2 linked regions of the Elephas maximus indicus genome follow. The protein of the gene in region 1 purifies or fractionates together with the protein of each later gene. This does not show direct contact. Links are inferred from orthologs where the notes say so. Each region holds a gene or a part of one and is shown in the gene's direction. Other genes may lie near its edges.

The links. Proteins that work in one complex are often made in the same cells at the same time.
Region 2: the proteins of MARK2 (region 1) and FUCA1 purify together in Homo sapiens (affinity purification with mass spectrometry; 3 studies listed by BioGRID and IntAct, counting the BioPlex papers as one, with this or other methods). This does not show direct contact. The link is inferred for Elephas maximus indicus from reciprocal best matches to the Homo sapiens genes MARK2 and FUCA1.

Annotation. Positions count from the first base shown.
Region 1 is NC_064825.1:127,036,737-127,043,780, forward strand, and holds the start of MARK2 (serine/threonine-protein kinase MARK2), read left to right. Parts: upstream 1-4,035; 5' UTR 4,036-4,589; coding exon 4,590-4,643; intron 4,644-4,661; exon of another isoform or gene 4,662-7,044. UniProt on the Homo sapiens protein: Serine/threonine-protein kinase. Involved in cell polarity and microtubule dynamics regulation. Phosphorylates CRTC2/TORC2, DCX, HDAC7, KIF13B, MAP2, MAP4 and RAB11FIP2. Phosphorylates the microtubule-associated protein MAPT/TAU.
Region 2 is NC_064821.1:64,260,339-64,267,699, reverse strand, and holds the start of FUCA1 (tissue alpha-L-fucosidase), read left to right. Parts: upstream 1-4,169; 5' UTR 4,170-4,245; coding exon 4,246-4,628; intron 4,629-7,361. UniProt on the Homo sapiens protein: Alpha-L-fucosidase is responsible for hydrolyzing the alpha-1,6-linked fucose joined to the reducing-end N-acetylglucosamine of the carbohydrate moieties of glycoproteins.

The DNA of each region.
Region 1 (7,044 bases):
AGGACCCTTGTACCTGCAAGAGCTAGAATCCCAGAACTCTTGTGGGCACCGCAGCTGTTCCTGGAGGACTGATCCTATGGCTTGGGCCTGTGGTAGGTGCCTTTACTTTTGTATTTGTTCCGCTAAAAGCTGCTCAGGCTGGAAAACTTGGAATCATCCTCAACTCCTCTCTCTCACGTATCTCAAACCCAACCCATCACAAAGTCCTGTTGGCTCCCCCTTCCAAATAGATCCGAAATTTGACCACTTCTTATTACTTTCATTGCTGCTGCCTGGTCCAAGCCACTGTCACTGCTCACTTGAGTTACTGCAAAACCCTCCTTCCTGGTTCCAGTTTTCTGTTCTTGCCCTGTCCGTCCCTTCATTCTCAATCTAGCAATCGGTGAGAGCATGGCACTCCAGCGGCTGTCTTAGTTATCTAGTGCTGCTGTAAGAGAAATACCACAAGCGGATGGCCTTAACAAAGAGAAGTTCATTCTCTCACAGTCTAGTAGGCTACAAGTCCAAATTTGGGCATCAGCTCCAGGAGAAAGTTTCTCTTTAGCGGTTCTGGAAGAAGGTACTGGTCATCAATCTTCCCTGGTGGAGGAGCTTCTCAGTGCAGGGACCCCAGGTCCGAAGGACACACAATGCTGCCAGTGCTTCTTTCTTGATCATATGAGGTTCCCAACTCTCTGCTCACTTCTCTTTTCTTTCATCTCTTGTAAAATAAAAGCTGATGCAGGCCACACCCCAGGGAATCTCCTTTATTACACTGGATCAGGAATGTGACCTGAGTAAGGGTGTTACATCCCACCCTAATCCTCTTTAACATAACCCAATCTCACCTCATTAACCACAGCAGAGATTAGGATTTACAACACATAGGAAAATTACATCAATCACAAAAATGGAGGACAATCACACAATACTGGGAATCATGGCCTAACCAAGTTGACACATACTTTTAGAGGTCACAATTCAATTCATGACAGGCTCCCATCTCCCTCTGAGGGAAAGCCAAAGCAACGGCCCTCCAGGGCTGGATCCCCATCACCTCTCTGCCTTCATCTCCTACTACTCATCTCCTTGCTCACCTGCCTCCAGTCTTGTTGGCATCTTTGTTCCTCAAACAGGCCAGGTTAGCTCCTGCCCCAGGGCCTTACCACTGACTGTTCTCTCTCCCTGGGATGCTTTTCCTTGAGACTCACTCCCTCACCTCCTTCAAGTCTTCGCTTAAATGTCACCTTCTGAGTGAAGCCTACACTGACCACCTTAGTACTGCAGCCTGTTTGCCACCCCCTGCTTTCCTGATCCCCCTTACCTGGCTCTCTCTCTCCCCTTCCCCGCCATGGCATTTCCATTATGTTTATCACCTGTCTTCCCTTCTATGGGCAGTGTAAAGCTCCCCGTGGGCAGAGAGCTTTCTCTGTTTTGTTAGCTGGTATACTAGAACCGTGCCTTGCACATAGCAGATGTCAATAGAAATTTATTCAGTAAATGAATTAATCTGCAAATTAGAGAGGGGTAAGTGTGGCAATAATTAATCTTTAAGCAAGGCTAGGTGGCCTCGGGGATTTGAGAAGGTGTCATTTGACCTGGATCTTGGAGTGCATCTGGGAGCTGGGGTCAGTGACAGGCAGTCCAGGTGAAGGGATCAGCCTGAACAGGGCAGGAGTAGGGGAGGGGTCAAGCAATCATCCCTAGCTGGAAAGTATATCAGCAAGGTAAGTTGAGGTGAGAGTGTGCAAAGTTTCAAATGCAGGCTAAAGGCTTTATCCTACAGCCAGGACTGGCTACATAATTTGTAGGGTTCAGTGCAAAACGAAAACGCAGGGGGCCCCCTTATTTAAAATGTCAAGATGATGAAAGCATTAAGCCAAGCACAGGGCCCTTCTAAGAGCAGGGCTTTGTGCAACTGCATAAGTCACACGCCCATGAAGCCAGCCTTGTCTCTAGACCACAGGAGACCTTGCGACGACCTTCTAGCAGGGCAGAGATGGGACTGGAGCTGGACTGTAGGAAGATTATTTTGGCATGACTGGTGTGGTAGGTTGGGAGTCAAGGGAGACCACAGGCAGCTCTGAGCTCAGCCAAAGATGGGGTGGGTGGTGGGAAGGGGGAGGGCTGGCAGTCAGAGGGCAGAGGTGAGGCAGGGGTTACAGCTTGAGTGAGTAGAAGCATAGAGGAGGTAAAATTTACTTAGATGAGCATGGGCCAGGGAGAGACCCTGAGTCCCATTTCCTTTGCTCCTCCAATCCCTTCCTTTTCCTGCCCCAGGCCTGAGAGGTGGTATCTGGCACAGCAATCACCATGTGGTCCCTGTCTCCCTTTGGCCACCAGAGGGCAGATTATTCTCATGAATTTTTTGAGGAAATTAGGGTAGGGGGAGTGGGAGGTAACGCTCTCCTTACCTCTTCCTCTTTTTTCCTCACCTCCCTTTGTGCTTCATCATCAACTTCTTCCCCAATGGCTGGGTGCCTGAATGGAGGTAGGGTGGGGTGTGGAGAGGTGTCCAAGAGTCTCTTGCAATTATTAAGACTGTGGGTTGTACCTGTTGCCTTAGGAAGTATTTTTCACACCCCTCCCGTTGCATCTGTTTGGCTGCCTATTTCTCTAACTTATGTGGCCAAGGGCTCTACTCAGATGCTCCACCTGAGAGTTAAAGTCAAATGTCAGAGGCCCAAGCAGCACCTTCTCCATAACCGCTGGAGCCTCCTCTGCTTCTGTACCTTTGAGGATGTATTGCTTGAGTCTGGTCTCTGGCTCCTGTGAAGCTGCTGGCTCCTGCCCACCTTAAGCGGCTGTTGAGCCCCGGGGCATGAGGAGGATGGACAAGTTCCAACATGTCCGGAGTATGATGGGTGGGTGCAGCTTGGAGCCAGAGAAATCAGACCTGTCTACAGCCTCTCCTTGGTGAAAAGGTCCAGGGGGAGGTGAGGAGTGGGCTCGGGTTGCCCACATGGGCTTCCTGTTAAGTCAGGGACTCTCCTAAGCTGGGAGGGTCCTCAGAACTCGTGAATCCCATGACCTCACTTTACTGTTGGGGAAATAGGTCCAGACAAAGAAAGGAACTTCTGGTGCCCATTCTTTGTGCCATCCTGAGGAATTCTCATTTTCAACCAGTTTCTCTTTCCCATGAGTTTTCTCTGTCTTAGATGGGATAACTGAAATGTGCATTAGAATGAGAAAGTCTCTCCTATCCAATCTTGCAGTGACGCTTAAAATGGTAAGTAGAATTCAAAGATATTATTTAGAATGTCAATGCTGGAACAAAGGCATGGATTCTCAGTTTACGGATGTGGGGCCAAGCTCAGAGGTGTTACGTGATTTTCCCAAGATCACACAGCAGTTTCACTCTGCAGAGCTCGGGCTGGGGCTCCTGTTTTCTGAGTGTTCTGCTGGGGGGACCTCCGGATCCCCCCGCAGCTGGGTGCGAAGGACGCTGACCTGGTGTCTGCCCGGGACCATGAGGATCCCTGACTAGTTGTGGGGCTAGGTGGATGGATGGATAAATAGAAGCCAAGACAGGCGGATGGCAGGCAGACAGGTAATAGACTAAGGCTGCATGTGGCAGGTGACACACACGTTGATAGATAGGTTGGATGATAAACGCGAAGATGGATCTTAGGAGCTGACTGACAGAGGGACGAACGGACACGCACACGGGCCAATCGCAGGAACGGCTAACAGCTTTATTTCTTCTACTTAGTCAAATAATCGCGCACGGTTGCCCACGCTCCATGTTCAAGCTTTGAAAATACCGGAAAACTGGCGGAAACAAACGAAGAGACAGACTCTGACCACCCCGGGGGACGACCGGACTTTCGCCCCGCCTCGGGTGTTGCCGGAAATGGGCGACGACCGCCCTCGATTACGGGGCGGGGCGGGGGCGTGGCCGACTCACAGCACGCGGAGGTGCTTCGGGTGTTTCCGAAAACTACCGAGAGCCGGTTTGAAGTGGGCGGGGAAAGGCCGGTGGGCGTGGCTGGATGGCTCTGGAGCGCCTGGAGTTTTTTTCGTGGATTTCCGCAAACAGAGTCGAAACCTGGGCTTCGGAGTCGAAGAGGCGCGCGCGCCCCGGGGCTTACCTTCTTCGGGTGTTTCCGGAACTCACCCGTAGTTCGTGGCTGGGAGGAGGAGGCCCGCCCCCCTCCCGTTCCTGGTCGCTTCGGATGTTTCCGGCTGCTGCCGGCGGAAAGAGCCGAGGGCCGGCGGTGGTGGCGGCCATGTTGGGAGCAGCAGGTCCGGCGGCGGCAGCCTGTGTGCCGGGCGCGGAGCAGTGCCGCTGAGGGCAGGGGAGGAGCGAGGCAGGCGGCCGGCTGCGGCGGCAGAGAGTAGGCGGAGCGGCGCGGCCCGGCCGAAAGGCGGCACAGCCCAGCCGGGGGTCGGGGGGGTGCGGTCCGGAGCCGCTCGGAGCCGGCGCGGCCTAGCCCGAGCGGCGCATCCCCGGGCTGGCGTGAGCGGCTGCCCGGCCTCCCCGCACCCCCGGCCGGGGCCCATGCGGCGGGTGCCCCTGCTGTGAGAAGCCCCGCCCGGCCGGGCTCCGCGCCTTTCCTTCCCTCCCTTCCTCCAAGCTTCTCGGTTCCCTCCCCTGAGATACCGGCGCCATGTCCAGCGCCCGGACCCCCCTACCCACGCTGAACGAGAGGGACACGGAGCAGGTAAGGAGCCCCGAGGGCTCCCCGAATTCTCTGGCTGGGCCCCTGCACCTTACGGAGCCTCCTCCCTCCTCTTCCATCCTGCAAGCTCGGCTGCCCTGTCATCTGGCTTCCGGCCCCGCACATCCCCCTTCCGAGTCCTGTCCTGGGACCCACCTCGTCCTGACTGCAGGCTGCACACTTGTCTTTCTGCCAGCCCCCCTTTCCTCTCACCGCCCTCCTGCGCTCTTCCGTGTCACATCCCCAGCTTCCCTTTCTCTTCCTTTTTTTCTCTCAGGGGCCTTTCTGGTCTTTCTCCACCCACGCTTAAAGCAGCCACCCTCCTGCTCCTCGAATAGCACCCCACGATTTGTCACAGATCTTTGTCCACCCCTTCTTCCATCTCCCTAGTCTGGCTTCCCCTCTGCCCTCACCGGTTCTCCCAGTCCCCGGTTCTCTCCCTCAGGGTCCTTGCCCCGGAGTGTGTTCTGATTCCTATCCCCTTTCAGTTCCCCAGCTTTTTCTACCCTGCTTCTTCCTTCTCCAAACTGTGCACTCCCTCTTGCTTGCAACCCACCAGCTCCACCCTCATCACCTTTCCAAGTCGTTCGCCTACTCTTTGCTCATCACTTTCCCTTCTTTTCTCCTGGAGCGCTCTGTTTCCTGGCGCTGGCATTTGTTGCTTCCGTGTTTCCCATACGGCTGCCATGCGCATAGATTTCCCACAGGTTGTCATCGGCGTTCCAGTTATCACTCTCTTGTGAGTCTTTGGATCCCTCGTGTAACCCTCCCTGGGGTCTGACGTTTCTGCCCCTCTGCCTCCTCTTCCTCACTGGCAGTGTTTTACCAGCCTTCTCCCGGGGCTCTTCCTACTGGCGGAAAGGCACTTGCTATTTCAGTCCCACTGTATTAACACAACCTGTTGCTCAGTCCTTTCCGTCCCTCGCTGCATCACCGGCCTTGCCTTGCGTTGTCATAAACAGCAACGCAAACCATGATGCCTTCCTGTCTCGTCCCTCCTGTTTCTGTCCCTTTTCATAGTATCTTACCCTTTGCTTGTGGCTTTCCTGTTTCACTACTCACTGCATCTTCCTTATTATGCCTCTTAATCAGTATCGCTTTTCATCTCCATGTCAGTCTCTTGCCTTTTTCACATGATATTTATTTTACCCACATGTGGCTCTCTGCATCCCCTTCCTATTGGCTAATCTTTGTAACTCCCAGTCCAGGAACTTTGCATGCTAGTTTCTTGAGCATGCAAGGACCCCTCAGCCTCAGGACCCCACAGGCTTCCCCTCCTGCTGGCAATCACTGCAGTAGATTGTCACCCAAGCCTTAGCCTTTTCTGTGTCATCACATCTCTGAGCTGAGCGGCGTCCACTTTCCACCCCTCCCCTTTCTTTCACCATCTCCGGTTGCCCTTGCTGACTCCTCTGTGGAGAGTCCCCTGCCTGTCACACCCTTCTTGGTGGAGAACTTTTACTAGGCCAAAAACTTGACTAGGGAAAGGAGCTCTGCTCCCTGGGGGCTGCAGTGCTTTTTGCATCCTTTCCACTCATCAGCTTCTTAATGGTTCCCTCTTCTCTTCTTTTTTCATATCCTGATAGAACCACTGTTATGTTCTCTTGCCTGTTAACATCTTCCATGGTTTTCATGCTTTTCCTATTTTGTTACCTACCCCCTCACTCTTGTCAACTGGGTAGTTAAGAACTCAAGAGGAGTTCTGGAGTTACAGAGAGGATTTTTTCCTGCAGTGGTTGACGCTTTTATTACTGATGGATTGGTTGCTTTTGGGGGTGAAATAGGGGCTGAGAAGGAGGGATGGTCGGTTTCTATTTCCTCACTGGGTTTGGCAACATGGGACTGAGGGCTTTGGAAACAGAGGGGCATGGTTCAGATCTCACAGTTTTTCAACCTTCCCCTGCCTGCCAGCCGTTTCTCTCTGCCTCCTGGGAACTATTCTCTCTAGGCCCTCTCTCACAACCTTTGTTTTAGCAGGTTGTCTCTGCTTAACCAGAGAACTTTCCCAGACTGTTGATTATGAGTTGGTAGGAGGAGGCCAAGTGACTGACTGGACTGGCACCCTCAGGCGTGTGGGGAGTGGAGATGGAGTGCCTCCTCTCTCCACAAGGCTGTGGGGCATTGTGTTCAGCAAAGGAGAGTAGCAGACTGCCGCAATGTGGTTTCTTTGTGCTGCATACTAAATGTAAATGTCGTTGCCAGTATTCTTTAAAACAAGAAAAAACATTAGCAGCAGCTCTTCTAGACACAAGGCCAGGGCTGCCAGAAGCGTTGGCTTCCCCTGGAATAGATCATGCCACCAGGTAAGAGCAAGAAACCTCTTGGTGCTGTTGCGATTTTAGTTAAAATTGTCATGGAAACTCAGTCTTGTGGTAAGAAGGCTTCCTGTCTCTCCTCGGCCTTA
Region 2 (7,361 bases), on another chromosome or scaffold:
ATAAAAAAAAGATTAGCAAAACTAGTAAAGAATGTCTGCCTTGAGCATTGTGCTCTTTTAAGAACTCTCTATATGGGATCAAAGTGACAACAGCAAGTTGAAAGATTAGATATTCCTATCTAATCTTTAGGGGGCAGTGAGTCTATGTTAATGGGGGAGGAACAACTCAGAAAAGGAGGGTGAGAAGGGCTGCACAACTCAACGAATATAATCAATATCAACAAATTGTACATGTAGAAAGGGCTGAATTAGTGTAGGTATGTTTTCTGTGTGTATTATCAAAAACAACCACAAAATAAATTTTAAAAAAGAAAACCCAATGGAGTAAAGTTCTACTCTGACATACATCGTGTTGGTATAAGCAGAATGGCATTGACGACAAGTGGGTTGGTTTTACTACGTGCCAGGCACTGGGCTGCATGATGATGACAATGATATTGATGCGAAGTCAATATGTACTTAGATTTTGAAGCAACTACTTTGGCTTCTGCATGCTTGATGTTTTTTTTGGTTGGTTCTGTTTTGGTTTTTAATGCCTCGATAGAGATAGAAACAGACTCAAGGTTGTCGTGGTTTTTGAACTCAATGGATACGCACATTTTGACCATAGTCTCAGCAGCCAGTTGGAACAGAAACATACGTCAACAGTGCTAAGATTCTAGTCATCTTAATTTTCATGTTGAATTTGATCGTTAGATATAAATCATCATTTGAGATCAATAACCTGATAAAGAAGGTTGTCATGGATTGAATTATGTCCCCCGCCAAAATGTGTGTATCAGCTTGGTTAGGCCATGATTCCCAGTATTCTATTGTCCTCCATTTTGTGACTGTAATTTTATGTTAAAAAGGATTAGGGTGGGATTATAACACCCCTACCAGGTCACATCCCTGATCCAATGGAAAGGGAGTTTCTCTGGGGTGTGGCCTGTACCACCTTTTATCTTACGAGAGATAAAAGGAAAGAGAAGCAAGCAGAGAGTGGTGAACCTCATACCACCAAGAAAGCAGTTCCAGGAGCATCCCTTGGACCCGGGGTCCCTGCGCAGAGAAGCTCCTAGTCTGGGGGAAGATTGATGAGAAGGCCGACAGAGAGACAAAGCCTTCCTCTGGAGCTGACACCCTGAATTTGGACTTTTAGTCTACTTTACTGTGAGAAAATAAATGTCTCTTTGTTAAAGCCATCCACTTGTGGTATTTCGGTTATAGCAGCATTTAGATGACTAAGACAAAGGTCTTGGTATCTGGATACCTCCTAGAGGCAAAGACACTTGTTCGAGGTCATACCGCGAAAGCGGGGGTTTCCAAACCAGATCTGTTTGACTCCAAAGCCTGCCCTGTTAGCCACTAGCCTGTTAGCCTACTTTAGTCAAATTCTGTTTGAATTATCACTCCTTAGATCATTGCAAAGTTGTTTGCATAATTATATCTCAACATACTTCATTTTATGTCCCCAAGGACAAAGTCTGACCAGGTGTCATAGCCCATATCACAGACTGTGTTAAATTGCAGTCACCAGTTCATCTTCCCCACAAGATGATGAGCTCTGTGTTCCCCTGGGGGTCCCCAGCGCTCAGCTAGGACCCAGCATATGGTCCCGAGGGGTCTGGTCAATAACTTAGAAATGAAATGTTTCTGAAAAGCTCATTGTGAACTGCATTTTGGAAAATCAAATTTTATTTTAACCCAACTCTTCGTAAAGCGAAGAAATGCTGTAATTTTTTTAAATAAATTTGCATGTTCATATGTTGTGATTCCTTAAAGCTGCAGTGTGCCTTTCTTTATTCATTGGTGGGTCTTCTCTCATTTGCACATAAAAGATGCCCAAGTGCCTGGCACATTGATACTCAGTAAATATTTGTCGAAAAAATAAAACTAGATTTAAAAATTCATTAAATTAAATGCTGTCACTTCCCTACTTTCTACCTCTCTCCTTCTGCAGTTATACTCTCTGCTTTAACTAGGGAGCAGAATTTATGCAGAAGGGTGACAGGAGGGAGGAGGAACCCTAAATATCACTGAGAACTGCCCTCATTATTTAGATAAGGAAACAGGGCCCAGATTTGCCCAAGGAGACCCAGCGAGATGGTATCTAGTACGAGAAACCCAGATTTCCTAGCTTCCAGTTCTGTCCACTCTACCACAGTGCCTGTCATCTGCTCCTGCAGATGTACATTTTGGTTATAAGCATAAGGAGAAATGAAGGTCACAGTGTCCCATTTTATCTTCCTCAAGACATGTTTTGCAACATCAAAGACCAATTGCTTATCCTGATCACTGGAAAAAGTGTCTAACTGAGTTTATTTTAAGGTGTCAATGTTTATTGTTTTGGACAATATTTCAACATAATCTTACAGAAGAAGAAACACGGAATAAGAATGTCGTTGTTGTTGCTAAGTACCATCAAGTTGGTTCCAACTTATAGCAATCCTGTGTACAACAGAATGAAACACTGTCTGGTCCTGCACCACCCTCACAACTGCTGCTGTGTTTGAGCCCATTGTTGCAGCCACTGTGTCAATCCATCTCATTGAGGGTCTTCCTCTTTTTCTCTGATCCTCTACTTTACCAAGCATGATGTCCTTCTCCAGGAACTGGTCCCTTCTGATAACATGTTCAAAGTATGTAAGACAGGGTCTCACCATCCTTGCTTCTAAGAAGCATTCTGGGTGTGCTTCTTCCTAGACAGATTTGTTCATTCTTCTGGTAAAAAAAAAAAAAAGTTTTTTTTTTTGAGCCCATGGTATATTCAATATTCTTCATCAACACCATAATTCAAAGACATCAATTTTTCTCCCATCTTCCTTATTCATTGTCCCCCTTTCACATGCATGCGAGGCAATTGAAAATACCATGGCTTGGGTAAGGTACGCCTTAGTCCTCAGGGTGACATCTTTGCTTTTCAACACTTTAAAGAGGTCTTTTGCAGGAGATTTGCCCAATACAATACATCATTTGATTTCATGAATGCTGCTTCAATGGGTATAGATTATGGATCCAAGTAAAATGAAACCCTCAACAGCTTCAATCTTTTCCCCATTCATCATGATGTTGCTTATTGATCTAGTTGTGAGAATTTTTGTTTTCTTTATGTTGAGGTGAAATCCATACTGAAGGCTGTAGTCTTTCATCTTCATCCGTAACTGCTTCAAGTCCTCTTCACTTTCAACAAGAAAGGTAACGTCATCTGTATATCACAGGCTGTTCATGAATCTTCCTTCAATCCTGATGCTGCATTCTTCATATAGTCCAGCTTCTCGGATTATTTGCTCAGCATACAGATTGGGTCAAAATACAAAATAGAAAACAGCTGTTTACTCAGAAACAGTCACTGTCTTTCCTTATTACTCCCAGGATGAGGACGCTCTTGGTTCTGCTAACACAGGTTCTGACCCCCTCTGGGGTTCAAAAGAGAAGCTGTGTGGAGACAGCCATAGATTCTGCATCCAAAGACCTAAGTTCTGGTCCCACCTTTGACTCAAACTAGCTGTGTGATCTTAGGCTACTCCCTTCCTCTCACTGGGCCTCAGTTTCCTCCTCTGTAAAATGGGGGAGATGGGAAAGGGGATGGCTCTGAGGATCTCCGAAGTCCCTTCCAACTCTGTCACACTGCAGTTTTCACTGATATGTGGGACTGATAGTGCCACGTGGGACATCAGAGCAATAGAAACATTTTGGTTAGCAGTCAAGCGCTTAACCATTGCGCCACCAGGGCTCCTTTTCTCTCCCATACCCTCTCATAATGCTTTCTTTCTGCCATCATCCCTCTACTTCAAGTCCTATTTTGTCTGCCAGGACTGTTACAATGCCCTTCCATCTGGTATCCCTGCCTCCAGGCTTGGCCTCGCCATACTACAGCTCAAAAAGCCCCTATGGCTCCCAACTGCCTAGTAACTAAAACCCGAAATCAGACTTCAGCCTGTCTCTGCAGGATTGCTGCAGAAAAATGGACTGCTCCACGGTTTGATCCCGCAGCTAAATCCCTTTTAAAGATTTCCTTCATCCCTCCGCCGAGCGCTCTGAACACCTCCTTGCGTCTTTCCGACTCTGAGCGCCAGAGGGCGCTGCAGGGACCGCCGGCGCTGAGGGAAGAGACTCGGTCGCTCAGGCGTCCGGCGCGACCCGCCCCTTTACTTCCCTCCGAGCCAATCATTAGTCGGAGTGGGCTGAGACCGCGCGCCCCGCACCTGCGCGATAAGAGGGGGCCCCCGGGGAGGCGCGCCGGCCCTGCCGCGTACCCCGAAGATGCGGTCGCGGGCGGTGGGCGCGGCGCTGCTCCTGCTGCTGGCTCTCGGAGCGGCCGAGTCGAGGCACAGAGCCTGGCCACGACGGGGGGCTCATCAGCGCTACACCCCGGACTGGGAAAGTCTGGACGCCCGGCCGCTGCCCGGCTGGTACGACGAGGCCAAGTTCGGGGTGTTTGTGCACTGGGGCGTCTACTCGGTGCCGGCCTGGGGCAGCGAGTGGTTCTGGTGGCACTGGAAGGGCGAGGGGCAGCGCCAGTACGAGCTCTTCATGAAGAAGAACTACCCGCCCGGCTTCAGTTACGCCGACTTCGGGCCGCAGTTCACGGCCACCTTCTTCGAGCCGGACGACTGGGCCGACCTCTTCCGGGCGGCGGGGGCCAGGTGAGCGGTCGCCGGGGCCAGGGGAGCGATCGCGGGGGCCAGGTGAGCGGTCGCCGGGGCCAGGGGAGCGATCGCGGGGGCCAGGGGAGCGGTCGCGGGGGCCAGGGGAGCGGTCGCGGGGGCCAGGGGAGCGATCGCGGGGCCAGGGGAGCGGTCGCGGGGGCCCGGGCCGGCTGGAGCTGCAGGAGGTGGGGTTTGGGGACGTGGACACGGAGCGGAGGGAGGCGAGCCCACACGGATGTGTGCCTGACCCATATACTCAAGTCCTGTGTTTTGCTTCCTGAAGGATGCAGAATTGGGAAGCAAGAGAAGGTGCGTCTTCTTGGGGACTAGAAAATAAAGGTTGCAGGGAGGAAGTGAGCTGGAAAGCCCTCGGTATCTATAGCTTTATCTCGAGAGGATTGAGCAAGGTGATACCGGATGACCCTCCCAGGCTGACAGGACGGTCAGGATTCCAGGATATTAAACCAGTGGTATGGGTTCTACCTCAACTCTGAACCAATCTTCTGGTCCTACCTCAACCTTGGACAAACGGCTTCACCTCCCTGCAGCCCCCTTTGATGGTAGTAGGAAGGAGTTGTCCTAGGTCTTTTCAGCTCGAATATAATAGGATGGAAAGGGAGAGATGGGAATTCTGGAGTGTTTGGGAAACTGTATGGATTACATCTACTCTTCTCGGAGTCTTGTACATAGAATGTGCTCAAGCAGTGTTTGAATTGTGTTGAGGACTACTTGGCACTTGCAGGTGGTTGGTTCAGAGAAGCGCAAGCAGAGTAAAGAACCAAAAGCAGAGCACTGGGGTGGGGGAGAGGGAGACTAGAGCCTTGAGGTTGTTGAAGGCTAGGGCAGTCATGAAGGAGTAAGCCTTGAGGGCAGTGTATTGCAGGTCGTTAAGTTAGGGAGTGGTTCTCTCAACTTCTAGGAAAGCTGGTGGAACAGTGATTAAGCACTCAGCTGCTAACAGGCAGCAGTTTGAAACCACCAGCCAGTCCGCAGGAGAAAGGACCTGGCAATCTGCTCCCATAAAGATTGCTGCTGTTCTTAGGTGCCGTGGAGTCGTTTCTGACTCATAGTGACCCCGTGTCCAACAGAATGAAACACTGCCTGGTCCTGTCCCAACCTCACAGTCATTGCTATGTTTGAGCCCATTGTTGCAGCCACTGTGTCAGTCCATCTCATTGAGGGTCTTCCTCTTTTTCGCTGGCCCTCTCCTTTACCAAGCATGGTGCCCTTCTCCAGGGACTGGTTCCTCCTGATAACATGTCCAAAGTATGTCCTCACTTCTAAGGAGCATTCACGCTGTACTTCTTCCAAGACAGATTTGTTCATTCTTGTGGAGCCCATGGTATGTCCAGTATTCTTCATCAGCAACATAATTCAAATGCATCAATTCTTCTTCCATCTTCCATTGTTCAGCTTTCACGTGCATATAAGGCAATTGAAAATACCAAGGCTTGGGTCAGGTGCACCTTAGTCCCCAAGGTGACATCTTTGATTTTTAACGCTTTAAAGAGGTCTTTTGCAGCAGATTTGCCGAATGCAATGCATCATTTGATTTCTTGACTGCTGCTTCAATGGGTGTTGATTATGCATCCAAGTAAAATGAAATCCTTGACAACAACAAACTTTTTTCCATTTATTATGATGTTGCATATTGGTCCAGCTGTGAGGATTTTTGTTTTCTTTAGGTTGAGCCTCCATACTGAAGGCTGTGGTCTTTGATCTTCCTCAGTAAGTGCTTCCAGTCCTCTTCAGTTTCAGCAAGCAAGGTTGTGTCATCTGCATAATGCAGGTTGTTAATGAGTCTTCCTCCAATCCTGATGCTGTGTTCTTTTTTATGTAGTCCACCTTTTCAAGTTATTTGCTCAGCATACAGACTGAATGAAATCCATTGCCATCAAGTCAATTCTGACTCATAATGACTCCCTCTAGGACAGAGTCCTAGAGGAGTTGTGGAATGACATCAAGGACATCGTACGTGAAGAAAGCAAGAGGTCATTGAAAAGACAGGAAAGAAAGAAAAAAACAAGACGGATGTCAGAGGAGACTCTGAAACTTGCTCTCGAACGTCAAGCAGCTAAAACAAAAGGAAGAATTGATGAGGTAAAAGAACTGAACAGAAGATTTCAAAGGGGCTCTCGAGAAGACAAAGTAAAGTATTATAAAGACATGTGCAGAGAGTTGGAGATGGAAAACCAAAAGGGAAGAACACACTCAGCATTTCTCAAGCTGAAAGAACTGAAGAAAAAATTCAAGCCTTGAGTTGCAATAGTGAAGGATTCTATGGGGAAAATATTAAATGACGCAGGAAGCATCAAAAGAAGATGGAAGGAATACACAGAGTCATTATACCAAAAAGAATTAGTTGATGTTCAACCATTTCAAGAGGTGGCATATGATCAGGAACTGATGGTACTGAAGGAAGAAGTCCAAGCTGCTCTGAAGGCATTGGTGAAAAACAAGGCTCTGGGAATTGATGGACTATCAATTGAGATGTTTCAACAAACAGATGGAGCGCTGGAGGTGCTGACCCGCCTATGCCAAGAAATATGGAAAACAGCTTCCTGGCCAAATGACTAGAAGAGATCCATATCTATGCCTATTCCCAAGACGGGTGATCCAACCAAATGTGGAAATTATAGAACAATATCATTAATATCACCTGCAAGCAAAATTTTGCTGAAGATCCATCAAAAATGGCTGCAGCAGTATATCAACAGGGAACTGCCAGAA